3 linked regions of the Arabidopsis thaliana genome follow. The protein of the gene in region 3 interacts with the protein of the main gene of each other region in a biochemical or structural test. Each region holds a gene or a part of one and is shown on either strand. Other genes may lie near its edges.

What was found.
Region 1: the proteins of TWD1 (region 3) and ABCC1 form a complex in vitro, tested with the Arabidopsis thaliana proteins (one study listed by BioGRID).
Region 2: the proteins of TWD1 (region 3) and PID form a complex in vitro, tested with the Arabidopsis thaliana proteins (one study listed by BioGRID).

Annotation. Positions count from the first base shown.
Region 1 is NC_003070.9:10,723,828-10,734,313, reverse strand, and holds the start of ABCC1 (multidrug resistance-associated protein 1), read right to left. Parts: upstream 6,998-10,486; 5' UTR 6,642-6,997; exon of another isoform or gene 6,248-6,641; 5' UTR 6,176-6,247; coding exon 5,846-6,175; intron 5,754-5,845; coding exon 5,575-5,753; intron 5,479-5,574; coding exon 5,439-5,478; intron 5,313-5,438; coding exon 5,156-5,312; intron 4,737-5,155; coding exon 4,622-4,736; intron 4,540-4,621; coding exon 4,459-4,539; intron 4,202-4,458; coding exon 4,177-4,201; intron 4,020-4,176; coding exon 3,963-4,019; intron 3,744-3,962; coding exon 3,678-3,743; intron 3,322-3,677; coding exon 3,247-3,321; intron 3,088-3,246; coding exon 2,980-3,087; intron 2,594-2,979; coding exon 2,459-2,593; intron 2,328-2,458; coding exon 2,221-2,327; intron 2,122-2,220; coding exon 2,028-2,121; intron 1,698-2,027; coding exon 1,530-1,697; intron 1,354-1,529; coding exon 1,213-1,353; intron 1,110-1,212; coding exon 909-1,109; intron 743-908; coding exon 644-742; intron 455-643; and 3 more. UniProt on the Arabidopsis thaliana protein: Pump for glutathione S-conjugates. Mediates the transport of S-(2,4-dinitrophenyl)-glutathione (DNP-GS), GSSG, cyanidin 3-glucoside-GS (C3G-GS) and metolachlor-GS (MOC-GS).
Region 2 is NC_003071.7:14,585,582-14,596,313, reverse strand, and holds PID (Protein kinase superfamily protein), read left to right. Parts: upstream 1-4,173; 5' UTR 4,174-4,756; coding exon 4,757-5,304; intron 5,305-5,611; coding exon 5,612-6,380; 3' UTR 6,381-6,578; downstream 6,579-10,732. UniProt on the Arabidopsis thaliana protein: Serine/threonine-protein kinase involved in the regulation of auxin signaling. Acts as a positive regulator of cellular auxin efflux and regulates organ development by enhancing polar auxin transport.
Region 3 is NC_003074.8:7,615,111-7,626,099, reverse strand, and holds TWD1 (FKBP-type peptidyl-prolyl cis-trans isomerase family protein), read left to right. Parts: upstream 1-4,622; 5' UTR 4,623-4,749; intron 4,750-4,980; 5' UTR 4,981-5,002; coding exon 5,003-5,039; intron 5,040-5,319; coding exon 5,320-5,496; intron 5,497-5,611; coding exon 5,612-5,701; intron 5,702-5,941; coding exon 5,942-6,126; intron 6,127-6,237; coding exon 6,238-6,360; intron 6,361-6,500; coding exon 6,501-6,653; intron 6,654-6,742; coding exon 6,743-7,075; 3' UTR 7,076-7,249; downstream 7,250-10,989. Other genes in the region: AT3G21660 (UBX domain-containing protein), read left to right, coding at 49-229, 360-446, 527-585, 809-1,016, 1,112-1,195, 1,273-1,605; AT3G21650 (Protein phosphatase 2A regulatory B subunit family protein), read left to right, coding at 2,688-3,941, 4,034-4,420; CERK1 (chitin elicitor receptor kinase 1), read left to right, coding at 7,570-8,209, 8,306-8,339, 8,428-8,435, 8,533-8,688, 8,778-8,971, 9,050-9,139, 9,233-9,326, 9,404-9,555 and 4 more. UniProt on the Arabidopsis thaliana protein: PPIases accelerate the folding of proteins. It catalyzes the cis-trans isomerization of proline imidic peptide bonds in oligopeptides.

The sequences.
Region 1 (10,486 bases), on a different chromosome or scaffold from region 3:
TCATGGACAAGTAGGATTTTATCCACTTGTGATAGGAAGTGGAGCTGATTTGTAACAAGTACTCTCGTTGTCTGCCCTAGTTCCCTTTTTATGCATTTTTCAAAAACCTATATATAACAGCCAGTTTCGAACATCAGATAACAATGTTTGCTTAAAAGTAGTATATGGCAGAGATCCGTGGCAAACAAGAAGTAGAATATCCATGCAGATTGAAAAACAAAACGTTATAGAGTTCACGATTTGCAAAATTGAAAGAAAAACAAAGTATTGTTCTATCCAAAAGAGCCTATGGCTAGTTTACCTGCTGACCAACATGCGCATCAAGGGCACTCAATGGGTCATCTAAGATGCACACGTCTGAATTTGAGTAAACGGCCCTAGCCATAGAAACCCTCTGCTTTTGTCCCCCACTGATGTTAACACCCCTTTCTCCGATCTCCGTGAGGTCACCTCCCTATCAATCAAGAGAAAGAAGAGGAAACAAGCTTAGATACCTGAGCACTAGAAAATAGAAGTACATGCTATCAACAGAACTGATGCAATTCAGTTTTTTCGATTTACATCGCACCAACAGATTTCAAGGTTCGTTTCACCTCAGGAAATTTTCAATGCACATGGCTAAGTAACTCTCCACAAAACTTACAGGCAGTAACTCAAGGTCATGCTGGAGTGCTGTCACATCAATCACCCTTTCATATTTTTCTTGGTCAAAAGGAGCCCCAAACAATATATTGTCACGTACCTACGCGATGTTAATTACAACCATCAGCATGTGGACGTATCTAAAAGCACACATCATCATATACAAAACATAAAATACATACAAAATAAGTAACAATCCAAGAGGAGAATTTGACATTTTCGCATTGAGAACCATACTATAAACTGAGTAGCATATATAAACTTACTGTTGCGTTAAAGATCCATGAAACTTGTGGAACATAAGCGACTGATCCTCTAAGAGTAACAGTCGCATCAGATCTTGCAGGAAGTTCCCCAAGCATAGCAGATATCAGGGAGGTTTTTCCTTCTCCTGTGCTGCCAACTACCGCAACTAGGCTGCCAAGAGGTATGTCCAGGTTGATGTTTGACAATGTTGGCCTATCCGCCTGCATATGTATACTTCTAGCTCACTTTTTGTACTTCATTGACAATATGTAATGATAGAAACTAATAGAAGTAAGAACATGTGATAAAATAGACAAAGAAGACCTTTGAATCCCAGGAGAAGTATCCATTTCTTATTGAGATAGCTGGCTGTCCAGGTTCAATGGGAGGATTCGGTAAGAGAACTCTCTCTTCGGTTGACAGTACCTCCTCCAAACGGTTTAAGGATACATTAGCATTTACCATCTACAAAAGTAAAGCCTGGTCAGCATCTGCAAAAACATTATGACAACGACTGGTCTAGAAAAAGAGGTAGAGATGGAAAATTAAAAGAGCAATCAGAAGCAATCATTACTACTGATGCCACATTATTCAGTACTGGACATGAAAACATGGTTCAAGAAACATTTTAAGGAAATCACCTGAGTTATAATGTTTGGAAGCATGAATAAAGGGAAGCGAAGCACAGAAAATAGAGAGAGTGACGTAAACGCTCTTGCAGGTGTCAGATCTCCTCCAAGCAATGAGAACACACCAAATGAAACAACAGTCACGAGGACAGGAATGCTGTTTAGTATGAACATATTGAACTGCAGAGCAAATAGAAGACCAAGAATGAGTCAGAAACATTAATGCAATATATGTTAAAGATCATGCATGAATGCTGCTACACATGCCCGAAACAACTGAATCAATGTTCAATGAACTAGAAAATAGTACAGAAAATGCCTAAACACATATTGATGGATACCATTCTCAAAATGGTCAAAGGCATTTAAAAAGACGAGCAACTTGGATTTGTCCTTGTATACAATCATACCGTTAGGAGAGCGACAAGTAAATGACCAAGACAACTATGCACATCATGCATACGGTCTATAAAATCAATTAATATAACAGTCACTGCACTCAAGCCATACCGCTGACAGGAGTTGTGCTTTCCGGAACCAAGATAATTCATCATCACGTACAGTTTGAACCTTGGACTGAAAACTGTTTTCCCAAGCGTAACACCTACAGTATTTTGGTTTAGTGAGATAGTTAAACACTGCCACAAACTTCCAACTATGCAAGAAAATAAATATTAGGTTTCAGTCTTCCAAAGTATCGTACTTCACTGTATCCATTGCCGCTAAAACCTCATTCATTAGGCCAATTCTCTTGTCAGTACGCTGCAACCCTTCTTTTGTTAACTTCTGCGTTTTGCTTATAATAACAGTCTGTTTCAACAAAATAAACGAAGAAAATGAATCATTTTCATTGGTGTGAAAAGCAAATGAGAAATAAGCACTCAAAAGAAAAAAAAAACCGACAGCGCAAAGAGAATGGGGAATTATTAAGATATACGAACCTGTATGGGGAACATAAGGACAAGAAACAATGCACCAATGATCGAGGCAACACCCAATTGTTGATAGAGGAGAACCAGTGCTACAATTATACGAAATGGCGCCGACCACATGGTATGAAGTGATTGGCAGATTTGCTGTCACACACAAGAGAAACGTTAGGAAAAAGAACAGCTATCAGCTAGATAAACACTTTGATTTCAAGCAAGAGCTTAGATAAAAGCACTGTTCAAAGGTAACTTTTTTCTACAAATCAAGCGAATTAAAGGTTTATTGGCTAATAAAGGAAAATCAAATCCTACAACGGCAACAAAAGAACAAGGGTGTTGAAAATGTAATCACAACTCTTAGATTTCTAGAATCTTAGAATAAGCTTCAGATTCAGTCGTCAGTTGCAGGAAAAAGACTATCTTGGTAAATTGCATCTAAGACTCATATTTTGAGGTAGATATACAACTATGCAGTGTAAATTTATATCAAGAAACAGACAAGGCTAAAGAGAGTAAAGGTAACAAAGATACACCTGCAGCGACTCAGCATCAGTAGTCATTAAGTTTGTTATTTTTCCTGTTTGAAACTTCTTCCGCCCCTCATTAGTTAGCCTCAAAGATTTTCGGAACACAGCAGCAATCTATTAAGGGAGAATTCATCAGCAGAATGAAGCAATCTATAAGCATCTGCTATAGCTTTCAACAGACATAACAGTACAGGTATTGCATCAAAACATGAGAAGCAGAGCAAAAAGAAAAACTAAGTAGCAAAAGATAATTCATGTGAAACTTTTTCTTACCAGTGCAGACCTAAGCCGGTAACCAACACGCATCACATTTTGGAAATACTGAGCTTCACATAAAACCCCCAATACCTGAAAATGTCAACATCAACATCAAGCGATCAAGGAGTCCATTGGTCAAGTGTCACCTTGACCTACATTAAACAAAACCTTTTCAACATGCAAATGTATTAACAAACAAAAAAAACTAACTCTAAGAGTAGAATCAGGCTATTTCTAATACAATCGAATCGCACAGAGATTACTTTCAGCTTAAGAAAATTAAACTGGTCCTACAATTCGTAGCATCTACTCTAGACCAAAAATACCATGAAGTCCTAGCAAGAAAGAAAAGAATCCAAGGAAAGTAGAGTTTTTGTTTCATATCCTTTGCAGTCCATGCAAGAGAATAATAAAGGCAGCGAAGAAAAAGAGAATTTGTTGCATACCACTCCAACAAAGATTGAGATTGCATAGATGTAACCTATCCACGCTGGTTCATTAAGTTGCATTGACTGCGGAAAGTTAAAGGAGACATTGTGAGATATCGTCAGAACATAATATTCAAAGGATGATAGGATTTTGAATCTATCAAGAACGTTTAAACACTTATTCGAGCCAGTAGGAATATGAATCCATCTCAAAGATCCATGTGAATGGAAAAATTACAAAGCATTGTGTTAAATAGGTTCAAGCACAATGTGCACGGGGTAAAAAGAAGTAAAGGAACAAACCTTTAAGAGCTCATTCAGTAGAAGAGGCCCCACGAACTGTGAACAGTCATTCCCAATCTATGATACAATTTAGATTGAAATGTCAAGATTAAACAGTTACAAAACACACCATTTAGGAAAACTAAGACCTCAGAAGCCATCAATATTATCAAATAGACAAGGAAAAGACTGTTTCAGAATAAAGAATAAAACACAATAAAGAGAACAAAAGTACCTTCCAAAAGCCACCCCACCAAAACCTACAAAATGCAGAAACAGACAGTCCATAAGGATGAAAAGTATCTATGGCAGATTATAACCAGAAAAGTAACACATCTCTTATTCAACTCGACACGCATCAAAACATACTTGAAGTCACAGCCATAACAGATTTCTCAGCTTCTAGTTATTCATAATGCATTTATTATTACAACCAAATGCTTCCTTTTACAAATCACACATCATGTCAAAGCCCAAAAAGATGAAAACACATGACTGTGAAGAAGTTTCTCTTTACCTTCCCCCAAGGCTGTTGTTCAGTGCTCTCAAAAGCCACGGTTTGGGCTTTTCTAGTTCCTTATCCCAGGACTTCTGGAAGCTAAAAAATGAGATAAAAATATGTCACGCAACCATGCCAGTCATAGACAGTATGAGAACAGTTGTTATTTATTAAAATATACCTCCTCATAAGAGTTTCAGTTTTATCCCAAGTGTCCAGATGCCATACATCCTTCTCGGTGAGAGGTCGTTTTGATCCCAGAGTCATCAATGGGTTCAACCATGAGAAGAAGATACCTGTGGGTTGAAAAACAAGGGTAAGAAGGTACATAATAGTCAAAGTTTAACAAATGTTGACGAATATACTATATAAAATGTTGCAGCTTAGTCGAAGTGATGATCACTAAGCAAAAACCTCGGCACAGTCACAAATCATAAGTTCATTTCTAGGGAGAACGGGAGGATAAGTCAAAAAAAAATTTTGAAGAGACTATAGACTACTCTCTGCGGAAACAATTTTAATGACCTACTACGTATTAGCACTCCATAAGAAAATTTACAATTCCAGGGAAATATTTAAGCTCTGCATAAATAACCAACTTAGATAGGTAGTAAGTGCAGAAAAGTGATAAAAGATGCGGTGGCAATTCTCACAATTAAAATAGAAATGCACCTATAAAAACAAAGTAGGGAATGAGAAGTGTAGAGTAACATACTGTCAAATAAATTTGCATGCCTCTCAGGACATATATTTTCTCCTCCAGGAAGCTCTTCATACTCGTAATCCTCGGAATTTTCAGTCCCAACTGGTGTGTAACCAGGGTAAGGGTCCAAATTAGGGAAATACACAAACAAGAGGGTTCCAAATGCAACCTGGATCCAAAAACCATCCTCAACGTCATTATCAAAACAAAGTTGTATCATCTACAGTCTGACTTAGATACAGCACATGGTAAAGAGTAGTTTGGAGAATGCAAAAAGGAGTCTAAAAGTGCAAACCTGAACTGCCACCTCGCTTATGTAAAGATACAGTTTAAAACTGCAAAAAACAAAAAAAAAATGACGCATATAAGTTCATCGTGCCAGACCAGGGAAACAAAATTGCATAAACCATACAGACTGCAAATTTACCAACCTGCCATAGTACTCCTTAACAGAGAGAACAAGATTTAACAACACCATGTCTCCCACAAGAGCATAAATGACAGCGAATCTGACATACCAACGGAGTTCATGGATATACGTTTTAGTTTCCACAACAGTCATGACCAAAGCAGAACCCCAAGCAAAAGCCTCAAGGACCAACATAAACGCCTGCCAAATAAAGCACAAAACAACAGCATCTCTCAGGAAAAAACATACAGAAGGAGAACAACATCAACAAAAACAGCAAAGTGATAACACACCTCATAGGGAGGAAACCCAGCTCCATCCAAATCCAAAACAGAGATCCTCATGACCAATCTAAACAAAGGCTCCGCAGTAGCATAAGCAGCCAAAAGAGCCAGAAAATAGCTAAACCATTTAGACCTCAAGCAGAACTTATCCACTTTGTGATCCTTCGTGATGAGCCACAAGCGATAAAGACACAGAATCAACAGAACCAGATGAGAGATACCAAGCACAAAAGAGTCAATAGCACAAGGCGTGTATGCACCAAACGCATAATCCACAGTTTTAGTCCACACACCATTCGGCACCGGCTTGCAATACCAATCCAACGGCTCAAACCCCATCTTCTTCCTCAATACAATAAAAATCCCCTGCTTCAAAGACTACACATCACAAGAAACTAACAATCCTCGAATCTGCAAGTGAGAAGTATAAATAATGAAACGCATCAGTAACAGAAACACTAAAAGAAAAAGAAATCAATAATTATGTGGCTATGAACTCAATGAAGACAAATGGAGAAAAAAACAAAGAAAAAAAACGATGTGATAGATTATTGAGAAAAAAAAAAAGATGGCAAAAAGCTTTTTATCTTTTTAGTGGAGAGAAAACAGAGACAGAGACAAGCACCAAAAGTTAGCTCCGAAGGCAAAAAACAAAAAAAAAAAAGTTTAAAAGCATAGATTCTCATGGAGAAAACAAAATCATCATCTATAGATAATAAACAAGTTTCCATCCCCATAAAAAAAATCTACAAAAATCACGTAACGAGCACGAAATGGAATTCGATTGATAAGGAGAAAACAAAACCTCACGGAGTCAAAGAGAGGTAAAGAGTGCAAATTCGCCGGAGATTTGGAGGAATCAGGAAGACGATAACGGAATCTTATGAACTCATTTTGTCACACGCTCTCTCTGTGGCAGATTCGAGATTTATAAGGAGATGATGATAAATGGATGCGTCACTGCTTACACTATACGAAGAAATGAAGATCCATATATTTGTATAGAGAAGAGAGAGAGGCCGAAAAGTCAATAACGTTCACAAGTAAAAACAAGAAGCTCTTTTCTCTGTTTATTTTACTCCTTTTTTTACACACAAACAAATGGGTAAATAACTGTAATCTTTTTTCTATATTAGGCAAACTAACTATAAAGTTTGTTATTTCTTTACAAAATATTTATATTATAATTCATTATGTTGCTATTTCTCTCTAAATTCTATCTTTTTTATTTAATAGCTCTATCCAATTTTTAGTATATTTTGAGAAAATAAAAATATATAGGTAATTTAAAAATGAATATCTAGAAAGGAAGTTGGATAATAATATCGTGTCCAAGTTAACAAACATTTTTTTCTTTTGAGAAAAGGATATTAGATTATTCGTCAGGAAAATTCGAATCAAGTATTCTACATATGGTTCAAATCTCTTCTTTGACACTTAGTATTTTTTTAACATTTATTAAACTATCCAATGAAAATCATGTTCTTTAAAAAACACATGATTTTAGTAGATGATCATATCACGACTTTTCCTCATCCTACAACTACAAAGTGATAGTTTTGAACCCGAACAACTGTTACAAATCTTTAAATATATTTAACCAAACAAATGTTATAGAAATATGATTTTGTTCGTTGTTGGTATCTAATATATATAATACATATAAGTAGATTATCAGATTTGATCATTTGAATCTGCAGGATGACACGATAACGATATTGATTAAGCTACAAACCTTGATCAAGTATGATTAAATAATATAAATTAAATTCTAGAGAAATCTAATCGTAAAATAAAACAAAAGAATAAGCTACTTGAATATAACAACAACAAAGATTGAGGAGAGGTATTAGCATAGTTCGATTATGCGATATGTTCTTTTGATTTTTGATGCTCTGTTTTGTAATTAATAAAAACACATCATAAAATGATCACTATAGCAGTAAACAAATAATTAAACTCGCATGGTTGCAAATTGCAATACACATCATAGGATTAGGCTCATTGTAGCAATAAGCATAAACCCTATCTTATTTACAGATAATTTGCTATGACAAAAGTAGATGTTAAAAAAAAAGGACAAAAGTGGAAGTCTTTCGTTTTCTTAAACCATTTTCGCTTTCTCTTTTTGGCAAGGTCTTTTTCGATTCGAATTCTAATGATCAACTCAGACAAATTCTATCATTTTTATTTCCTTAATAAGTAATAATTCCAAACAAAACAAAAAACAGCATTTGTCGGATTCAATTTTAGTTGACTTAATTATTTTTTGGGTTCAATTCATAGATATTCTAAACATTTCAGTTTCAAAATTTAATAGTAATTGGCCAAAAGTTTTAATTTATCGTTGAGAATCTTAGAAACGCTCGACGTCAATCCGTGTTTGATTCCAGATGTTCTGACATGCACTATTTAACTAATTAAACTATACTAAAATAGTACTCATTGATACTCTCATCTCCGGTACTCCCATTAATGACATCGGTCGAATACACACTGAAATCTGTCCAAGGTTTTCTTAACTTTTATTATTGGAAATTTCATGCTTGTTTGCTTCTACGACATGAGAACTTTACTTTAAATAGTATATACTGCCTAGCCTGGTTGGGCTTATCTCGTGTTGCTAAACCACTCGCTACAATACTAATAATCAATACGATTGGATAAATAACTTAAAAAGGTCAATCTGATACAGAATATAAACTAAAAAAAAAAAAAATATAGAGAGAGTTATAGGTTATAGTTAACATCTATATTCAAAAAAACAAAAAAAAAAAATTATAGTTAACATCCTGATAAGTATTGTGTTTATGTCTTTCATCAGTGGCTGAGTGGAGCACTAGAGTAAAGTCGGTAAACCAATAATGGAGGAGGAGACCAGCAATAGTTTGTGTGGCCTGACTATGTTATAGGGTAGGATTTTTTTCTCTCTGTGACACCAAACCAATTATTTCAGAAATATATCTTATTCCAAAGAGAGTTTGGATCAAATGCAAAGATTAGCTTATATGACAACATTTTTTTCTATGACAACATATTATGTGTTTAATTACGTCTACAAGATGTCAAAGAGATTATAAAAAAAAAATGTCAATTTTGGTCTTATATACGATGACCAAATATTAGTTTGGTTGGATACAAGGCCACTAATATTTTTCTACTTATATAAGCTTACGTCAAACTTCTAAACCTAGTGGTATTTCTATTAAACAATGATCTCGGTTCGCATACTTAAGTGATTAAGTAAACGGTCATTCTTTCTTTTTTTTTTTTGAATTTTATGTTAAATTAAACTCAAAAAAGGAGGCCAATGTTGTTACAACAAGTGCTAACGTTAGTTTAAAGAATATAATCTGGAAAACAGAGCGTAAGTTATCTCTCTCTGAAGCCAAACTTGAAACCCTCTATCAAATTTTCTATCACCATTCTGTTTTATGGCCATCAAATGATTTCGAATGTGCTTATCTATCCAACTGATAAGCCGACTTGAAGAATTCGGAGAAGCTCCATGTTTGCGCTCGTTTCGCTCTCGCCATAGAGTGTAAATCATCACCTGCAAAATGCAACGGACTAGGAAACCTGCAATGCGATCCGGCCAGTTGCGTGAGACGTTGTTGATGATGGTTTGCCAGTCCGTGGAAAAACAAGTGTTGTAGATGGTCCCGAGATTCAAGCGCATTGTTACATAGGATACAAGTCGCATCCACCCCCATGTTCCAAAGTGTCATCCTGTCTCCCGTAGAGAGCCTATTGTGAACGGCTAACCACATGCAAAAAGCGTGTTTAGGAATGGCTTGAGCAAACCAAACCCCTTTATACCAAGCCACCTTATTTGAAACTGTGCGAATATGATTCCAAGTATCCTTGGTAGAGAAGATGCTTCGAAACCTATTCTCTTTCCCTTTCCAAAGTGCACAGTCCTCGGCTTGGTTTCGGGAGTTCCAGGACAGAACAAGTCGCTCCTCCACTCTGTTTAAGAAGTTAGCGCGGTGTCTTCTTCTTCTCCGGTTACCCCAAGCTTCTACCACAGTTGCGTGCTTATTTATCCCCAGATCAATGGCTCCTCGATCCCCTGCACTTTCAATCAATCTTCCTAAATCACTCCAATCATCATACCAAAAAGAAGTCTGGGCACCATTGTTTATTTCCACTTTACAAAGAGTCCTCGCTATGTCACGAAACTTAAGGATCTTTCTCCACATCCATGAGCCGAGACTTGTATTTTCCCTTACCGCCCAAAAAAAAACTTTCTTAAGGAGAGAGCTTTGTATCCACTTGACCCACAATGAGTCAGCATGAGATATAATGCGCCAGATTAACTTTAAACAACAAACATCGTTAGCTTCCTTTAGAGATCTTAAACCTAGACCCCCCTCTTCCTTCGGTTTACACACAAACGCCCATGCGATCTTAGCTTTTGATGTATTTAGCTCTCCTCCTGACCATAGATAAGCAGAGCACATCTTATCAATTTCCCTGATACAATCCCGAGGTAGACGGAAAGCTCCCATCCAGAAATTACAAATACTCCAAAGAATCGAGCTGATTAGGTTCAATCTTCCAGTATAAGATAAAAAACGAGCTGACCAAGAACAAATTTTCTGCTTTATGTGATCAATAAGAGGGAGATAATCAGTTGAAGAGAATTGT
Region 2 (10,732 bases), on a different chromosome or scaffold from region 3:
TTCGTTGGAGTTAATTTGTGAGATGAATATTTCTAATTATAATCGGCAGAATAATCATCCGTTTGAATAAATTAGGAGATTAACTATTAGGAGTATAAACAACCATGATTTCTTTATCATAATTACTTTGATATAAAACGATATTTACCAATCAAATTTATAGAAACAATTAACTTATCATTAAAGTTCTTGGTTAATAGTGTATATATATATACATATATATATTGTATTTGAAGCCCTTGTAAAAAGAGAAACGTGAAGACTAAACAAAAGAGAGTCACTGTCTTAATTAATTATTAGATCATTATCATGGTATTTGAAACCCTACTCGTCTAACTCTTGCCAAAGTCCAGAAATATGACAATGGTCACACATGCCATGTGACCATTTTTAGCCGATGATGTGGACCTTCTTTATATTAAGAAATTATTTGGTTAGTTTCCCAATTGATATCAAACAAGTTTCGTGATATGGGTCGAGACTTTTAAACAAAAACAAAACAGAAAAGTTTCATGATATGGATCACTTTTTATAAAGAAAAGTCTACCTATATTTTCTTCTATTCTGCACTACAAAATGGGTAGACATATATACATATGTAGTGTATGTATTTATCTATTATTCTATTAATCATTCTCATTCTCAAAGGTTTGACATGCCCACAGGCCACAACCACAAGCAATCTCACTTGCCATGTTTTTTTTTTCATTTTTTGTTTATATGAGTATAGTAGATAACACTTAAGTGTGTATGCATGTGTATATATTACTTATGTTATTTTACGATATACATGAACACATCTATACGTGTTTGTGTATATGACATATCTAATCAAGCGTCTATGCATGTAACTATTTAAGTATGCAGATATTATGAAAATACATACGTTTAATAAATATGTATTTTCGTTTCTGCATGCATATTCATATATTCATGAGAAACGTATTTAACTATTTATTAAGGCCTTGAATGTTTTGTAGATTTTGTAAGAGTTTTTGGATTTTGTTTTTCAAATACTTATTTTCGTACCAATCAAGATTTTAAAATTTTGATTTCCATACAATTTAGAAAAACTATTTTGTTGTAGTTTTTCATTCATGATTTTAGTTTTTTAGTTTTCCTAAAATTTAGGGAATCTAGTTTTTACTCCATCAACGTTATTTTTCTCAAAAACTAAAAACCAATTTTTTTGAGTTTTAAAAACAAAAATATATTAACAAAAATCTAAAACTAAAATCTAAAATCTAGAAACTAAAATCTAAATCCAAAAACTAAATCGAAAATCAGCATCCATTCAAAGCCTAAAAGTGTAGCGAGATGGAGTAGTTCTTATAAAAAGAAAATCTTATATAAAATATTAATAATTGTTACACTTTCTGCTGCACCTTTTTATGTGGCACCCAACTCTCTTTAACTAATTCGTGGGGCCTTGCTTCTAGCCTTATTGTATATTCCAATTTCAATTGCTTCCACACAAATTGTATTTCCAATAGATATGTTGTGAAAATCTAACTAAGCGTATTTTCCTTCTTTTAGCATCAATTTTGGCTATTGTAAAAAAAAACATCAATTTTGGCTAAAGAAGAAATGCTCATCAAAAGTTCGATCAGTTGGACGTATCTTATAAAAAGTCAAATGTTGTAAAACAAGTTTTTTTTGGTGTAAATGTTAAGAGTTCTAAAACAGGTTGACCGAACCAATTCTAGCAATAATAATAACCCCTAACCATGAAAGACTCATGAAGGATTCATTCACAAAACAAATCCTAACCATAACAACAGCTAATGTTGAAAACAAATATCAATTCATCTTTGATGAGTGGAGTGGAGCCACGTAAATCTTACTGCATGATTCAGCCAACTTCTAGAGTAAAATTATATGGAAGACATCAAATTGGATCATATAGCATCACATGGAAACAAGCATTAGAACATAGCCAGGCCGACTTAAAACAGAGATTTCTTATAATTGGTGTCGTTTATATAAAAAAAAAAATCAATGAACATTTACATTTTCATGGAGTTATTTGCATTTGTCTTTGAAGTATAAACCAAACAAAATTCATTAATTAGTTTTCCAATTTATGTTTGGACCCAAAAGCTGTCGCGTCAGAAAAAAGGACCCACAGTTCCTAAATGTTGCCGCCTGTCCTCCTCACATCCTATGCTTTTATTTATTACACTGTTTTAGTTAATCTCTTCATATCTTTCTTACTCTCTATATGATTCATTGATTCTATCTTTAATATTCTGTTTTTTTAATCACAAGTTAAGGTTTTTGTGACCAATACACATCATCCTCTGTCTAATCGTTACGATTATAAAACTAAAACGGATTGAATCATCATTTAGCTTATTGTTAAAAAAAAGATTCGAGGGAGAAATAATAATTGGAGTAAGGTGGGAACTAGTCCGTACAAAACATGGACCCCACGAAATATATAGTACGTACAAGACACAGAAGTAAGTCATTCCGATGTAGTTTTAGTAATTGGTACAAGATTGGGATATAGTTAAACTAGTTACCAAACACTTGGCTAAGAGAGAGTTTGAGAAGATACAGAAGTAACGGGAACAGTTATTGTCTTTAGGAACCAACGAGGAAGGGAATATCTCTCTGGGTTTATTTAACCATAAGTCCAGAGGTCAGTTCTGTTTTGTCTCTTTGCCAATTTAGCTGGCACAATTACGACTTTGTCCCTCTTCCACCAAACATCTCATGCATTTTTCTCCTTATTTCCTTCTTTTTTCTCCAAACTTCTTTCTCTTAAGTTTCCAAAATACTTAAGAGAATAACTGAATATAGTCACAGTCAAATATGTTAATGTTTGATTCAGATTCTTTAATTTAAAACTAAACCTAGGGACACTTATCTTAACCTAGGGACACATTAATTTTGAAAAACGTGTTCTAAGGTTAGCTAAGGAGAGGGCCATGCAGATATATATGCGCCAAATGAATCATAAGCGGTGGGCATATTTATGTCTGTCCTTTTTATGGCTTATGAAACAAAGTTAAAGCTATATATTGTGCATGAAACTTAGGCTACGTTTCCCCTCTATTTTCCATTCATTTTGAACTCAACATTTGCAAGTGTTAACCACACTTCTTCTAACTGTTGTGATTCGTTTATTCTAGCCATTTCACAGATTGAGGCTAGTATAAGTATTCTAGAGTACATTATATGAATACGTCTCAAACTTTTACTGTATAAACAAAACAGTTTTCCAACCGCGAACAGAGGTTGGATTAGAGCAACTCATGGAAAAGATAAATCGGAGATGAAAAAAGTTGTCACAGTGGTCAATCCACAATGATATGAGAGTAGGACAAGTAGGTTCATTCCCGTATAATTATATAATACAATATGTTATAGTAGCCCAAACATTATAGGAGGTGGAGCTAAAACAAAACAAAAATTAGCGAGAGGAGATCTCCAATTGACAATAATTGAATCAACCAAAACCTAACCTAACATAAAAACAATATCTTGGATTCAAATCCAAAGCTTGGAACGTAACGTAACATGAAGCCACAGAAAGCCAACAACATCCTAGTATATAGGTTGGGTCCCTTCCAGCATTTGTATCATCTTTATTAATGATCATTAGGTATGTTCATAGTCGGTATAAATATATAGGGTCCGCACAAACTGGTACACTTTTTTAATGGCAAACATAGTGGTACGAATTGATAGTAATTAAGTGTGTTTTGGTCAATAGCTAGTTTTTTTGGGGTTTTCAAAGATTATATATCCGTGACCATGAGTTCTCTAGTTCAACTCTCACTCACGAGAAAGACAAATGAAAGAACATACTGTACTAGTTTTTGTCTAAAAGTACTCTTTGATTAACCTTTAGAAAATTGATGTTATCATTAAACAAAAAAAATAGTTTCACTATCTCTTCCTATAACCTTTTTTACGGGCTCATTGAATAATTACATATCTTTTAGTACATTTTGTACCAAGACGATATAACATTACCAATCATCTTGAATTAGCCAGAAACAACAAACTAAAACTGTTTAAGTTTCAGAAACTAATCCATATATAATGTTGAGATTAGTTAGTATTCATAACCTATGGAGTATTAATCTTCAAAATTTTCCTCATGAAATCTGTATTTAGTCATCACTTTTTTAACACAGATGAATCACTAGTCCAATATTTCTCCAAAAAAAGACACAAGAGTCTCGAAATTGTAATCCATATCTGTAATTTTGCACCCCTATAATATGCCTAGAGGAAATAAGAAGAAAAAATAATGGGGAAAAAGAGAAGCTACTGCTACACTTTCAGGCACGTGACAACGTCTCACACGTGTCATATATCTTACGTCATCAAGTCCTCTTTTTCTCTCTTTCACTTTTCTGTTTACCTCTCTCACGCGTTGAAAAGTGCAATCAATCTTACATAATTAACCACAGTAAGAAAAAAAAAAAATGGTCTCTGTAACGTCTTTTTACTGTTATAACCTTACACGCATAAATACCCCTCACCAACTCTCTCTGTCTCGCCTCTCTCTAAAACTCCAACACTTCTCCTTCTTCCATCTCTCTCAAACTTCTGAAAATCTTCTTCTTCTTCTCAATCATAAACCCTAAATCTTCATCTCTTCAGATCAGAAACTAATGTCCATTCAAAGACACCCTGTCCTGTTTCATCTCTGTCATTAGTCTTCTGTTTTCAGATTCCAATTTTTTTTCTTGAATTATCCTCTTAGCCATTTCTTGATTTAACTTCGATTTTCCCGGCGATGTTACGAGAATCAGACGGTGAGATGAGTTTAGGAACAACAAACTCACCGATAAGCAGCGGAACAGAGAGTTGCAGCAGTTTCAGCCGGTTATCATTCGACGCGCCGCCGTCAACTATCCCCGAAGAAGAAAGCTTCCTTTCTCTCAAACCTCACCGATCCTCAGATTTCGCTTACGCAGAGATCCGAAGACGAAAAAAACAAGGCCTAACCTTCCGAGATTTTCGCCTCATGCGTCGTATCGGCGCCGGCGACATCGGAACAGTTTACTTATGCCGTCTAGCCGGAGACGAAGAAGAGAGCCGGAGCTCGTATTTTGCGATGAAAGTTGTGGATAAAGAAGCTCTTGCGTTGAAGAAGAAGATGCATAGAGCAGAGATGGAGAAAACGATTTTGAAAATGCTTGACCATCCATTTTTGCCGACTCTTTACGCTGAGTTTGAAGCCTCACATTTCTCTTGCATCGTTATGGAATATTGCTCCGGTGGTGATTTACACTCTCTCCGTCATAGACAACCTCACCGGCGATTCTCCCTCTCTTCCGCCAGGTAAAAAATATCAAATTTTATTGAATAATTTAATATTATGGACAAAGTCAGATTTTTTTTCAAAAAAAAAAAATTGTGAAAAAAGATTCATCATCATCAATGTATATATATATTTTATAGTTACATGCATTGACTCTGTTCACATTTGTTATCTTGTTCTGCAAGAACAGACCTGTTCTTATCATGTCGGTCTTTTCCAGTTCTTTGAATTGTTATCAAAGAGTCTTTTTCAGCCCATCACAATTTATAAACGTCAATAATTATGATTTTATTAGCTAATGAGTATTTATTTTGTTTTTGGTTACAGATTTTATGCCGCCGAAGTTCTAGTGGCGTTAGAATATCTACACATGTTGGGTATCATCTACAGAGATCTGAAGCCTGAAAATATCTTAGTTAGATCCGACGGTCACATTATGCTCTCTGACTTTGACCTCTCTCTATGCTCCGACTCAATCGCAGCCGTTGAATCTTCCTCGTCTTCGCCGGAGAATCAACAACTCCGTTCACCGCGACGATTCACTCGTCTCGCTAGACTTTTCCAACGAGTCTTGCGGTCTAAAAAGGTTCAGACTTTAGAACCAACCCGTCTCTTTGTTGCTGAACCGGTTACTGCCCGGTCCGGTTCGTTCGTTGGTACGCATGAATACGTGGCACCAGAAGTTGCTTCAGGTGGATCACATGGTAATGCCGTTGACTGGTGGGCCTTTGGAGTGTTTCTCTACGAGATGATATATGGCAAGACTCCGTTCGTTGCGCCGACTAATGACGTCATTCTCCGTAACATTGTGAAAAGACAGTTGAGTTTCCCGACTGATTCGCCGGCGACTATGTTTGAGCTTCATGCGCGGAATTTGATTTCCGGGTTGCTTAACAAAGATCCGACTAAAAGACTTGGGTCACGGCGAGGTGCGGCGGAGGTTAAAGTGCATCCTTTTTTCAAAGGTCTAAACTTTGCGCTCATTCGTACGCTTACTCCGCCGGAGATTCCTTCTTCCGTCGTCAAGAAGCCGATGAAATCGGCGACGTTTAGTGGTAGAAGTAGTAACAAACCAGCGGCGTTCGATTACTTTTGAACGTTTTCTACGGTCGAGATTAGGGCCACGTGTTAGTCTGTTTTAGCTGTACATATTCCCTCGAAGCTGTCCTTTTTTTCGTTCTTTAATTTTTAAAATTTCGTTAATCTGACTTATAAATTAAAAATTTAGGTGACTTTTCATACAATTTGTACAACAAACGGATTAATCTAAAACTAATCTATTTTATAATTATCATTATCAACTCTTCGGAACTTGGGAACATCTATTTACCAGTCTAACGATAGTTAATGTTAAGGCATTATATAGTTGACCAAATTTGGTCAAACATTTCTTACCGGTTTGAATGAACTACTTTTCACCGCAATGGAAAAGAAAACGAATTACTTTATAATAAAACTCGTCACGCCTAGACTTTGTAGTTCGACGGGTATAGAAAAAGAAAAGAAGATTCGTCTTTTGACAATTGTAACACATGAAGTCATATTTGCTCTTTGTTAAATCTCTACGAGTCTTTAGAATGTCAAAAAAGGGAGAAAAAAACGTTATCCATAAGGGTAGGAATCTGCCTTTTTGGATCCGACCAGTTGCATGATCTCTCTTCTGCTTTCGATTCGTTCTCTTCAATTTCAACTTAAGGAGAACAATAAACTATAGACGGCAAGACGAAATTGTTTTCTTGATATAGAGTATCAAACGCATTCCTCTAGTGAATTCGTTTAAGCTTTATATAAAGTGGTGTCATTTTCTTTAATGTGTTAAATCGATTTCATTAATTAGATACATTCACTTGACCACATTTTGGCCCCCGAAAAAAAAAAAAGAACACATCATAGGTTTTAAATGTCATTTTCAGATTATAAAATTACTTTGAAAAACTTATACATAAAATATGGCTACTAAACAAATATTTACATGTTTAGTGGGTTATAACATTATCACAAGACTTTAATACTACAATTTATCTTGGTATCAAAACATACTCCACTTTTTATGCAATAAGAATTTAAGAGCTATGTTTGTAAGGACCAAAGATATCCACATCGAATTGTTAGTTCGTGTATTTAAGAAGGGAACAAATGTAGATGTAATGAATCGGATAATGCATTTTAAAGTGAAGTTAAGCAAGTAGGTAAATAATTCAGCTAAAATTTTTGGGCATGTTTGAAGCATGTCCCCAAGTTCATCCATTGCATAATGTGACAATCTAGAAACTAACAAAAAGCCTTTGGCCTTTGGATTGCGTAAAGAGGATTTGTCTGCAATATTTATTTAAGAAGGGAAGCAAAAATTTAAAGGACAGAGAGATTTAGCGCTAGATGTTTTGTCTATCTTAAGAGTAACAAAAAACAATACATATGTACTTACTTACTTGCTCACATTATATTCACCACGTCGACCGTTAATGAAGTGAGTACGTTGTTCAACCAACCAACCAACATTGCTTGATTTACCGACCGCTTTTATTAATTGTTATACATATGTGTGTATAATATACTTATGTGCCATAGGCGATTGTATTAGTGACTAAGGAGTATAAACAAATGTGTATACATGTACAGGATGTGATAATTATGAGTATAAATATACATAAAAACAATCTCTTTAGCTAGCCTATAAAGTTTTTTTTTTTTTTTTTGTGTGTGCAAAGACTATAGAGATTTTCTATGAATTTTAGAAATCTAGAGAACAACTTGGAAAGGTAAGGAGAATAAAAGAGATTAGCAGTAGAAGTCACAGAAATGGAATGGTTATTCAATAATTAGAGACCCTATAAGCACACCACCGTTAAAATGGTGACAAAATAAATCGCTAGTGAAAAAGAGGGGAGAAACAGAAAAAAACTAAAGCTGAAATGTCAATGATTAGACAATTCAATACAAATTGTTTTGGACAATGCATAGAAGTTTTGTCTCTCCTAAAATGTGTAAACATGGACCACACACAAGATTACCGTCACGTCTTGTGTTGTTAATTATAATTAATTTTACTAATGAGCTTAAAAATAAGTAGATAATGATGATTTTACTGTTTACACTTTGAAAAAGAAAATAAACATTTAAGTCGAAAGTCAAAGTCTTCTTATTGGGAGAGGTGTTTCTTTCGCAGAAACCGAGGTTTGTAACTTGTCATTATTCCTTTCTCACTCGCTTACGTGGACCCAAGAAACTTCCCTTGCAATTAATAAATACTACTCTTTTCAAAATACAATAATTGGATAACTGAATTATGTTTTCTCTTTTCCTTAATTGATTTATATATTGAACCACTTTCACATTATAAATTTCGACATAATTTCAAAAAATATCCATTAATTCACAACGCAATAGTTAACGTTATTTATGTATTTTTTGGCCAAGATGCTAAACGTTGTACAAAGTAGACAAATTATCAAAAGTCCAAGAGAACCGTTTATAGTTTATGTAATTATTTTGGGAATTCTTTTATTTCATGGAAAGCTGAGGAGCAAAACGAAGTGACTCGAACCAACATTGATATAGACGCATACGTATGGCTAATGTTACTTGTAACTTGATATAACTGCAATCGTTTCTACTTTTTCACAAGATTAAAGATTCACATCACCGAGTTTTTCTGCGATAACATGCCACACATACAAATTTTGTTTCTCATACACTTACTAAACACAAATATCAATTGTCACTCACAGCGTACGTGATGATATGAAGAAGAGTTTTCTCAAGGTAGCTATTTATGTTTGTAATGTCAACTAACATGATGCTATTATGACCGAAGCTCTTCCTCAAGATATTTTCATTCTCTATTCAGTCGAATTTCGTCAGTTTCATCACCCTCAAGACATTTCGATTGAATAGCTTGTAATGACGTGTTATAAGCAAGAGTACACATAGTTGCTCGAGGTTGGTAGAGCAACTTAGAACATTGTTAGCTACACTTGTTCAGTGACTAGCACGGAATTGTATATAGAAAACTGCCCACACGTTACTAAATTAATGAAAAATATCCTTTCACACAAATGCTTGTTGATATCTATCTCTGGTCTAGCTTTAAACTTGATATTTGTCTCATTACCACACAAAAACAAGGGAACATAGTAGGTGATCGGGTATATCTATATATATGTACATTAAATAACAATTTTTTGTATCATCGGACCAAGCTTGTGACGGTGAACAATTGAAATGAATGGAGTATAGAATAATTGTGATTAATAATTGAAAACACATAAAATAACATGATTTGTTAGATCTTGATTAATACTATAATAGAAAGAAGAGAAGTGTGACAACACATGGGATGTACCCAACAACACAAGGGACAGCTTCACCAGTCTGATTTATGCCACTGTCCCGTTCTTGTCCTCCCTCTGCCCCACCACTCCTTTGTTTTATTTCATCAGTAATAATACTACTAATTTTAGTTAGTGTTTAGATTAATCATAATGCAATAAACAAAGAAAAATATCTGATTTTTGGTAGAAAAACATACCAGCAGCTCATATACTATTAGTTCATATTTTTAACCGATAGTTGATTGTTAAAAAGAATGTTGATTCAAGAATTTTGTAAGAATTGCAACATTGTTGAACAACAGTGGCAAAACATACCATAAACTAATAGATACTAGTAACTATGATCACTGATCAAATAATGTATAAATCGGAGATTATTCTATGTAACATTTAACAAAAGTGTATTACAAGTAAATAAAGAATAAACTTTTTAAGTTACGAATGGTAAAAAACTAAAGAAATTTGTTAGTTCTCTGTTTGTATGCATGCATTGTCTCTCTGCTAAAATGTTCATGACAAGTCCACATCTACTCAAATACTCATCGAGGTGATTATCCTCGTCGTCGCTTTTATACACATGTAATATTACACACATCTATACATGGAGTATATTTTTAGCGAACGGATAGGTGCCATGTGGAGGTAAGTACACGTCGCCACTTGTGAGATTCTGTTCCAATTACTTGTGGAAGTGAATTATGTCGCAGAAAAAGTTTGACGAGATTTCCAATTAGCCACTCATTTATTAACGGTCACCAAAAGCATCAAATTACAGTTTTTTTTAGTGCTTTGAGATTCTTTTCCCTGACATATTGTTTTATGTAAAATAGCAAACTCGAAAAGATAGTAATAGTATCCAAATTATTATTATTACAGTATTATTTTTGATAAAAGGTTGTTATTCTTTTTTTATTTTTTTATTTATTGTATCTATTATATAATTCGAAACTGCTATATTGTTTGTCTTTAGTTTGCATCTCTAGCTTTATATATGCTTATGAAGTTTCAAATGTTGCTATTATATGCTGCTGATTCTTTTTTTCTTATGTAGGAGTATAGGTTTGACCGTTTGACAATACGAGAGGAAGAGGAAGTTGGGAAAAAACGACGCCGCATG
Region 3 (10,989 bases):
TGATTATTTGTGCAAGATCCTCAGATATGTTGTTGCAATTTTTGACAGAGCTATAGAAAGACCTGAGCAATCATCAAGATCAATGTCTGAAGAAACTGTTTCATCTGAGCTTGAAGAAGAGCCTCAAAAAGTGTTTACGCACACTGTAACAAGCTGGAGCAACGGTTTCACTGTCGATGATAGCTCGTTAAAGACGTTGGATGACCCGGAAAATGCAACCTTTCTTGAGGTTACTAATTCAATACCTTCTTGCCATTTTCAAGTTGTGTTACATACAACATAGTATAGTTACAACTTACAAGGGTATTGGTCTTTCTCTGTATTACTTTAGATAACATTATGTTCCATGACAATGCCAGATCATATCAAGTATGGAGTCCCCACGTGAACTCGGTCAAGTCCGTGTTCAAGTCAAAATCATTAGCCGTGAAGAAGAAAACTACACTGTATATTTGTCTCCTTCTCTCTTCTCTGATTCAAATAAGCCGGTAAAGTGAAAGCCCTTATTCTTATATCTTAACAACAGGAATCACAAGCCGGATCAGACTCTGCCTCAACTAAGCCACCACCAGCTTTAGCAATGAGGTTATATGACAATGTGCTTTTCTGAAGGAGATGAATCGTTAATTTCTCAAAACTCTGAAGAAATGTGCTGTTCAAGAATCCATGATACTGCAAGGATCTTGTGTATAGGATAAAGATGTTGATGGTTTTTGCAAGTCTTGTAGAAGAAGGTTTTTGAATGTATGTTGTAGCTTTAATGGGATGCTTGTGCGAAAGCTAAAGATGTAGATACGCTTTTCGACAGAGCTAAGGAGTCAGCTATAGAAAGATCTGAGCAATCATCAAAGGTATTGTCTGGAGAAACTGATTCAGCTGAGCTTCAAGAACAACAGCAAGAAGACCAGCCATATGAAGTAGTCACGTACACTGTAACTATTTGGAGGAACGGTTTCACTGTCGATGATGATCCGTTTAAGAGTTTGGATGATCCAGAAAATGCAGCTTTTCTCGAGGTTACTAATATCAATATCTTCTTGTCATTTTCAATTATGGGTCTTTCTCTGTACTTGTTTCACTTGGATAACATAATGTTCCAAGTATATGCCAGAGGATAACAAGTTTGGAGTCCCCACGACTACTCGATCCACTTCGTGTTCAAGTCAAACTCATCAAGTGTGAAGAAAATTTCAGTGTATACTGATCTCCTTCCCTCTCTCTCTAATCTTTTTCTCTTCTCTGATTAAAATGAGCTAATATTTTTAACAACAGGAGTTACAAACTCTAGCCGGATCAGAGTCTACCTCTACTGAGCCACCATTGACGACTACACAACCACCATCCATGAGCTCATTAGTGGTGGATCCTGCAGCGCCAACAACCTCGATCCAGCTTATATTAGCAGACAGCACACGCATTGTCACCCAGTTCAATACTCACCACACCATTAGAGACATTCGATGCTTCATAGACACGTCTAGACCAGATGGCTCCAAAGACTACCAATTACTCATCATGGGGTCTCCTCCTACACCACTGTCGGACTTTGACCAAACCATCGAGAAGGCTGGCATCGCCAACTCTGTCCTCGTCCAAAAATTCTAGCTCTTTTCTAAGCACATTAGAGACCAATTCTATGGTTACAAAATAGCATCATAAACTTTTTATTGACTTTTCGCTAGTCTTATGTTTGACTAGCGAAATTATTATTGGTCAAACGCTGTGTAGTCGTCTTTGATCATGAAAAAAGTACAGTTTACGTACTTGTTGAGTTTTATACTTTTTATTCTCACACAAGTTTCTCTCCTTAACTATAGAAGTTAATTGATCAAATTAGGACGTTGATGGCGTCATAATGAAATGGGATTGGTGAATTAAACGAAAATTGACGACTTACTATTTGACGACCATGTAAAACGTTTACTTTTCAGGGTTGTTTTGACTTTTTTGACTCACCTGCCATTCTGTCAAACCGTGCGTGTCCATGTTTATTGATTTTTCCTTCTGTTCTTTCCACCTATGTGTGTGTGTCTCTGTGATGTTTATAAAAAAAAACAATAAATTTTTTTAGAAAATATCTGGATGTTCCAGGTTTGTTATTCGATTCAGAGCAAAACGATTAAGTGTTTAAATGGATTTAGATTTACAGTAAATATCCAGATAGAGAGAAAGAAGGATAAGGAGAGAAGAAAACGATTACTTTCTTCTATTCTTGTTCATTACAACCTTATAATCTCAACATTTGTTTTTTTTCTTTTGTTCTCTCTTTCTTACATATTTCTTTTGGATTTCGTTGTCTTTTTTTTTTCTCTCTTTTCTTCTCCTCTCTCTCGCTCGATTTCAATTTGGGCGAGAAAGGAGCGGTCTTTTGTCTTTCCTGGGTTTATCAGCTAGATCCCTCTTGCCTAAAGTTTGTAACTTTCTTAGGGTTTTCTTCTGATTTCCTCTCTCTCGGGGTTAATTCTGCTCAAAAATGTAAGCCCTTCTCCTTTTATTTCGTTTGTTAGATTTTGTTTTGCTTGATCTGATTCTGTTATGTAATTTTGGGTTCAGGGTTTGATTCAGAGGCAAATCTGGTTTTGTTTAGACAATAAAGTTCGGGACTTTTTGACATACTCACAGCTGGTTTTTAGCTTTGGTTCTTATAGAGAGTAATAGTAGTGAAGGGTTTGTGCCAATAGTTAGAAATGATCAAACAGATATTTGGGAAATTACCTAGAAAGCCTTCCAAATCATTGCAGAATGACTCCAATGGTGAAGGAGGTGTTAATAATTCTTATTATGCTTCGAATTCGAGTACTACTAGTATCTCTAAACCTTCTTCAACATCTTCGAAATCATCATCAGCCTCGGGTTCGCGTGTAGCTAATGGAACTCTTGCTCCTAACTCAATGAGCTCTAATAGGAATACTAATCAAGGGAAGAAACCATTGGGAGGAGATGCTGTTGTACAAGCTGGACCGTTTCCGTCTTCTGGTGGGGTTTATGAGGCTTTGCCTAGCTTTAGAGATGTTCCTATATCGGAGAAACCGAATCTCTTTATCGGGAAGTTGAGTATGTGCTGTGTTGTTTTTGACTTTAGTGATCCGTCTAAGAACCTTAAGGAGAAAGAGATTAAGAGGCAGACATTGCTTGAGCTTGTTGATTATGTTGCATCAGTTGGTTTTAAGTTTAACGATGTTTCGATGCAAGAGTTAACGAAGATGGTAGCGGTTAATCTGTTTAGAACTTTTCCTTCTGCGAATCACGAGAGTAAAATTCTTGAAATACATGATATGGATGATGAAGAACCTTCTTTGGAGCCAGCTTGGCCTCATGTTCAAGTTGTGTATGAGATTCTTCTCAGATTCGTGGCTTCTCCCATGACTGATGCAAAGCTTGCCAAGAGATATATTGACCATTCTTTTGTCTTGAAGCTCTTAGACTTGTTTGATTCTGAAGATCAAAGAGAGAGGGAATATCTAAAAACTATTCTGCATCGGGTGTACGGGAAGTTCATGGTGCATCGACCTTACATCAGAAAGGCGATAAACAATATCTTCTACAGATTCATATCCGAGACTGAAAAGCATAATGGCATTGCGGAGTTGCTAGAGATTCTTGGAAGTATAATTAATGGTTTTGCTTTGCCTTTAAAAGAAGAGCACAAGCTCTTCCTTTTGCGAGCCTTGATTCCTCTCCACAAGCCTAAATGTTCATCAGTCTATCACCAACAGCTTTCGTATTGCATTGTTCAGTTTGTAGAAAAGGACTTCAAGCTCGCTGATACCGTTATTAGAGGTCTTTTAAAATATTGGCCTGTGACTAACAGCTCAAAGGAAGTTATGTTTCTTGGAGAGTTAGAAGAAGTCTTGGAAGCAACTCAAGCCGCTGAGTTTCAACGTTGTATGGTTCCATTATCCCGACAAATTGCTCGATGCCTCAACAGTTCACATTTCCAGGTTCGAGTCTTTGACTATCATCACAACTTCATATCTATCTCTCTTGATAAAGTCTTGTACCTATATATGAAGTTGTACTTTTTGTTTGTCAGGTTGCTGAAAGAGCATTGTTTCTATGGAACAACGATCACATAAGAAACCTGATCACTCAGAACCATAAAGTGATAATGCCTATAGTCTTCCCAGCTCTTGAGAGAAACACGCGTGGACATTGGAACCAAGCAGTTCAAAGTCTGACTATAAACGTGAGGAAAGTATTATGCGAGATTGACCAAGTTCTTTTCGACGAGTGTTTAGCCAAATTCCAAGTAGAAGAAGTGAATAAAACAGAGGTTAAAGCGAAACGGGAAAGGACATGGCAACGGTTAGAAGATTTAGCTACTTCAAAGACCGTTGTAACCAACGAGGCAGTACTGGTTCCAAGATTTGTGTCCTCAGTCAATCTTACTACAAGCAGCTCTGAGTCCACAGGGTCGTAGTAGGCTCTCGTAGGTTACTATGTACTTGTAACAAATATTTGTGGTCACTATAGAAATGGTTCTTGAGAGACGACTGTATAATTATTTTTTTAAATTATAATCTTTTGGGTCAAATTGAGAATATTTGATATTATTTTACTGAATTATAATAAACGCCGTTAAAACTCTCGTTAGTTAACGGCTGACTCTGAAGTGAAAACTGAAAAGTCGAAGGGTCTCTTTATATTTTCAGAATCAAAATCTGAAATTTATCTCTCGGTCGATCCAGTCTTCGTGAGTGACTTCGACGACGACGACGAGTCACACTACTCTTGAGCTTCTCATACTTCGTAAGTTCACTCTCCTCTTCTCTAAATTGACAAACTTTTTCTTCGTTTTCTGCTATTATTGACGACGAGACTTGATTTTGTTTTGAAATGAAATGGTTCAAGTAGCTGACTTCGACTATGTTCTTTTGGGTTTTTGTCATTGAATCTTACTTGTCTGATTTGGTCGATGTTTAATCAATTCAACACTTAAAGATTCAATTTTTGGATTGACACTTGCACATTTTTATTCAGACCCAGGTTGATTTGGGAAATAATGGATGAATCTCTGGAGCATCAAACTCAAACACATGGTAAGTAAATTTTCATAGATTTAATCTCTCTGAATACATATATATGACTTCAATATGTTTGATTGGAGTTTTTTTGTTGTCCCATATTCAATTGGATGCTTTGTTAAAGGATAAATGTCTATCAAATTATGTTGACTGCGTTATTCTTTCTAAATCATATTGTGAATCTTGGAACAAAGCATGTATACAACAAATTTGTTAGACTTGATAACTCCTTTTCTGTTTGTTAAGAATTGAGAATGACTATTGGGGTTGACTAATGCATCTTTTGTGGCTCCAGACCAAGAGAGCGAAATAGTTACTGAAGGAAGTGCCGTTGTGCATAGTGAGCCATCTCAAGAGGGTAATGTTCCTCCTAAAGTTGATAGTGAAGCTGAGGTCTTGGATGAGAAAGTCAGTAAGCAGATTATAAAGGAAGGTCACGGTTCCAAACCATCCAAGTACTCTACATGCTTTTGTAAGTACCCTTTAGCTTTCTGTTGATTGGATGTTGATTTTTCGATTGCACTTGTTGGCCTATTGCTACTGTTTATTTGAATCTTTCTATCTGACCAATTTCATATTGGCCATAGTGCACTACAGGGCATGGACCAAAAACTCGCAGCACAAATTTGAGGATACATGGCATGAGCAGCAACCTATTGAATTGGTTCTTGGAAAAGGTATGTGGCTGTCGAATATGTACTCTACACCTCCATTTCGTTAGATGAATCGTCATTGGTAAATTTGATGAGTTAGCTTGTGTATTATATGAACCCAATGAGATGGATATTTGGGAGGAAAAAAGATTGAGTTTTGTATTTTTTTTGCTTCAATGCTGATTAGCCCATTTTAACGTCACTATACAATTTTTTTTATAAAAAAGATTGTGCACTAAGAGTGAAATGTTGTCTGTGAGACAGAGAAAAAAGAACTAGCCGGTTTAGCCATCGGTGTTGCTAGCATGAAGTCTGGTGAACGTGCGCTTGTGCATGTTGGCTGGGAATTAGCTTATGGGAAAGAAGGAAACTTTTCTTTTCCGAATGTTCCACCTATGGCAGACTTGTTATATGAGGTGGAAGTTATTGGGTTTGATGAAACAAAGGAGGTAAGTTATTTCCTATACCATCATCTTGTTTCCTTACCAAGACGACTCCACATCCAAGCTTTATCCCAACCTCCTTGCTTACCTCTCTGACTTAGATGATGTATTGAACAGGGAAAAGCTCGCAGTGATATGACTGTAGAGGAAAGGATTGGTGCAGCAGACAGAAGAAAAATGGATGGGAATTCTCTTTTTAAGGAGGAGAAACTGGAGGAAGCCATGCAACAGTATGAAATGGTTATGCATCTCTCTCTATCTCTATCTCTCTTTCCAACAATTACGGTCAAAGTTTAGGTTTTCAGGCATACTTAGTGAGTCTGCTCGAGGCTCTTGTGTCTTCTTTCGGCTTTTGATTAGTCATGGTTTTGCTGTTTCAGGCCATAGCATACATGGGGGACGATTTTATGTTTCAGCTGTATGGGAAGTACCAGGATATGGCTTTAGCAGTTAAAAACCCATGCCATCTTAACATAGCAGCTTGCCTCATCAAACTAAAACGATACGATGAAGCAATTGGTCACTGCAACATTGTAAGACTCATCAAACCATTCATTTGAAGAAAATCATTAAAGTTCATACTCGGTTTCTCGAAATCTAATCAAACTCAAAACCTTATCAGGTGTTGACAGAAGAAGAGAAAAACCCAAAAGCACTGTTCAGAAGAGGGAAAGCAAAGGCAGAGCTAGGACAGATGGACTCAGCACGTGATGATTTCCGAAAGGCACAAAAGTATGCTCCTGACGACAAGGCGATTAGAAGAGAGCTACGAGCACTTGCAGAGCAAGAGAAAGCCTTGTACCAAAAGCAGAAAGAAATGTACAAAGGAATATTCAAAGGGAAAGATGAAGGTGGTGCTAAGTCAAAGAGCCTTTTTTGGTTGATAGTGTTATGGCAATGGTTTGTTTCCCTTTTCTCCCGTATCTTTCGACGCCACAGAGTTAAAGCAGATTAATGTATGAAGAAGGGTAACAATTCAACTCTAAAAGACCAACGTGAAAGATCTACCCCCATTTCTTATTAGTGAGAATTTTGAAAAATATTTTATATAAGAAAAAAAAATAGTCTCTATTGTTTTCGATTATAAAGTAACTTTATATTTTGATCCAAAAAAATAAATTTTTAACAAAAAACATACAAAATTCGAACGTAAAATCTACTTCCTTCAACAGAAATGGCGGTCTTCATAGTTTTTGTCTTTGACCAAAGACTTTCAAATTCCAGCTGCTAGTTGCATTAAATGATCTTAGTATTATTAATTAATTAAGAAACTTCTCAACAATTAACAAACACTAATCAGTAATCATCATTCTCTTTAGTTGAAAAAAATAGTCAACGTTTGATTAAGTCAACCTTTTTCGTCTTTGAATCCATCTTCTTCCCCACAGAGCAACGACGAAACAAAAAAAACAGAGACCCTTCCTCTGGGGAATCTAAGGAAGCTTCAAAATGAAGCTAAAGATTTCTCTAATCGCTCCGATTCTTCTTCTCTTCTCATTCTTCTTCGCCGTGGAATCTAAGTGCAGGACTAGCTGTCCTTTAGCTCTAGCTTCGTACTATCTCGAGAACGGAACAACACTCTCCGTCATCAACCAAAACCTCAATTCTTCAATCGCGCCTTACGATCAAATCAATTTCGATCCAATCCTCAGGTACAACAGTAACATTAAAGACAAAGATAGAATCCAGATGGGCTCTAGGGTTCTTGTACCTTTCCCTTGCGAATGTCAACCTGGTGATTTCCTAGGGCACAATTTCAGCTACAGTGTTCGACAGGAAGATACTTACGAAAGAGTCGCGATTAGTAATTACGCGAATCTCACGACGATGGAGTCGTTACAGGCGAGGAATCCTTTTCCGGCGACTAACATACCTCTCTCTGCGACGCTTAATGTATTGGTGAATTGTTCTTGTGGTGATGAGAGTGTTTCGAAAGATTTTGGTTTGTTTGTTACGTATCCGCTTCGTCCTGAAGACAGTCTCAGTTCTATTGCGAGATCTTCCGGTGTATCGGCGGATATTCTGCAGAGATATAATCCCGGTGTTAATTTTAACTCCGGGAATGGAATCGTTTATGTGCCTGGAAGAGGTACAAAGATTGATCTTTGATGATTTGTGACACAAATTGTTATAAATGTAGTAATGATTGTTGAAGTTTATGTACATGTTCCTGTGTTTTTTGCAGATCCAAATGGTGCATTTCCACCATTCAAATCAAGGTTGTTTTTGTTGTTGTTAAGATTGTATCTTTGTTCATTTTGATATCTATTTACTGATGTATTTCTACTTCTCTTATGTTTTTTGTAGTAAACAAGGTTGGTTCTTTTCTCCATTTTTGAGCTTTTGATGATTATGCACGAAGCAAGAGGAGACATGGAAGAGTATGTTTTTGATATTTTTTTGTATTAGCAGATGGTGTTGGTGCTGGAGTTATTGCTGGTATAGTTATAGGAGTGATTGTGGCTTTGTTGTTGATCTTGTTTATCGTATATTATGCTTACCGGAAGAATAAGTCGAAGGGTGATTCGTTTTCTTCTTCTATTCCGTTGTCTACTAAGGCTGATCATGGTAATTTCGTGATGATCATATACAAGCAGTTTTTGTCTCTTTTGTTAGCTGGGAGTTGCTTATTATGTTTATATGAAATCTGCTTTTAGCTTCTTCTACTAGTCTCCAAAGTGGAGGTTTGGGTGGTGCCGGAGTGTCTCCTGGCATTGCTGCCATAAGCGTGGACAAATCTGTTGAGTTTTCGTTGGAGGAACTAGCAAAGGCTACTGATAATTTCAATTTGTCTTTTAAGATTGGGCAAGGTGGTTTTGGGGCTGTTTACTATGCAGAGCTGAGAGGAGAAGTAAGCAGATATCTTTTTATATCTTTTTGTTTGAAGCTACTACACATGGAACATTTAAATTATTCGGTTCTTGTATAGAAAGCTGCGATTAAGAAGATGGACATGGAGGCATCGAAACAGTTCTTGGCGGAACTAAAAGTCTTAACGCGTGTACATCATGTCAACCTGGTAAACCCCTTTTGTGTTCTCTCAAGATAATATCTGAGATCAGATGAAGATCAAGTCTTAGCCAAATTTTAACGAATTTGTTTTTTCTTGCAGGTTCGCCTGATTGGATATTGTGTTGAGGGATCACTTTTCTTGGTGTATGAATATGTTGAGAATGGTAACCTTGGACAACATTTACATGGGTCAGGTACGCAATATAAAGACCTCCAAAAGTGAATCATTTTTCGAGAAAGTTGTAAACTAAAAGAGTTTATGTGAAACTAGGACGAGAACCATTACCGTGGACTAAGAGAGTGCAGATTGCACTAGACTCAGCTAGAGGTTTAGAATATATCCACGAGCACACGGTTCCAGTTTATGTCCATAGGGACATTAAATCTGCCAATATTTTGATAGACCAGAAATTCCGAGCAAAGGTACATTCTCGATTTCTCTTTTGTCAATCAAAAGTGAAAAATACTGAAAAGGTTAGATTTTTCCTTTGTCACCGCTCTGAGTCGTTTACGTGTTACAGGTAGCAGATTTCGGGTTAACAAAACTGACAGAAGTTGGAGGTTCAGCAACTCGGGGTGCAATGGGTACATTTGGTTACATGGCACCAGAGTAAAGAATTTGATCTCGTTTACACTTATATACTACTTTAGAGACTACACTATAGTGATGGTGTATATATGTATGTATGCAGGACTGTTTATGGAGAAGTGTCTGCAAAAGTAGATGTATATGCATTTGGAGTTGTCCTTTACGAATTGATTTCTGCGAAAGGTGCGGTTGTCAAAATGACAGAAGCCGTTGGTGAATTTAGAGGCCTTGTTGGTGTGGTTAGTATTATTGTTTCTTCGTAACATTTAGTCTTTCTGATTTAAAGGCATGTATGTGGATCACTTAACAATATGCTTTGTTTATTTATTATTCAGTTCGAAGAATCATTCAAGGAAACCGACAAAGAAGAAGCACTACGCAAGATTATAGACCCGAGGCTCGGTGATAGTTACCCGTTTGATTCGGTATACAAGGTAATATCTCTTCTTGTTCCCTATTCTATTCATCATTGATCATTCTAAAAGAGGGTGTCCAATCCGTTTTTTGGTCCGAAAAACCGATTAAAAGTGCGATTTTTAAAAACCGGTATTCACTGAACAATGTGCTATTCGATTAGCTTAAAGTGTCGAAAAATCAAACCGAATACCGGATTGCACATAGCTAATTTTAATAACGGGGTAAGCCAATTTGGTGTTTTATGTGTTGTGGTATAGATGGCGGAATTAGGGAAAGCATGTACACAAGAGAATGCGCAGCTACGTCCGAGTATGAGATACATTGTGGTTGCTTTATCCACTCTCTTTTCGTCTACCGGAAATTGGGATGTTGGAAACTTCCAAAACGAAGATTTAGTCAGTCTTATGTCCGGCCGGTAGACTCGTTTTCCGGTTTGCTGTTGTTATATAGAAATGATTGTTTTTTGGTATGCTCACGTATATTTTGTCTGTCTATACGAACTTTACATGTCACAACTCACAAGTTGACTTTTATATGATTTTCTATAACGCTCTATATGTCAATTATTCAACGTCTCCGATATCAGCATCTCACGTCAAAGATAATAATGAAATGCATTAAAATTCTCATAAATAAATTTTTTGAAATCGAGTTTGCCGACAAAAAAATCAAAACATAAAAATATAACTTTTTGTGATGGATACTCTCACGAAGCTTAGAACAAGTCTTCCATAACACCAAAGAAATTCGAATGATTTTGTCACATGGATTCCCCAATACATAAAATCTATATTCCAGCTTAGAACACTAAGTATGTTTCTTATTTCACCTAGCTAGATTTTCTTTATTAG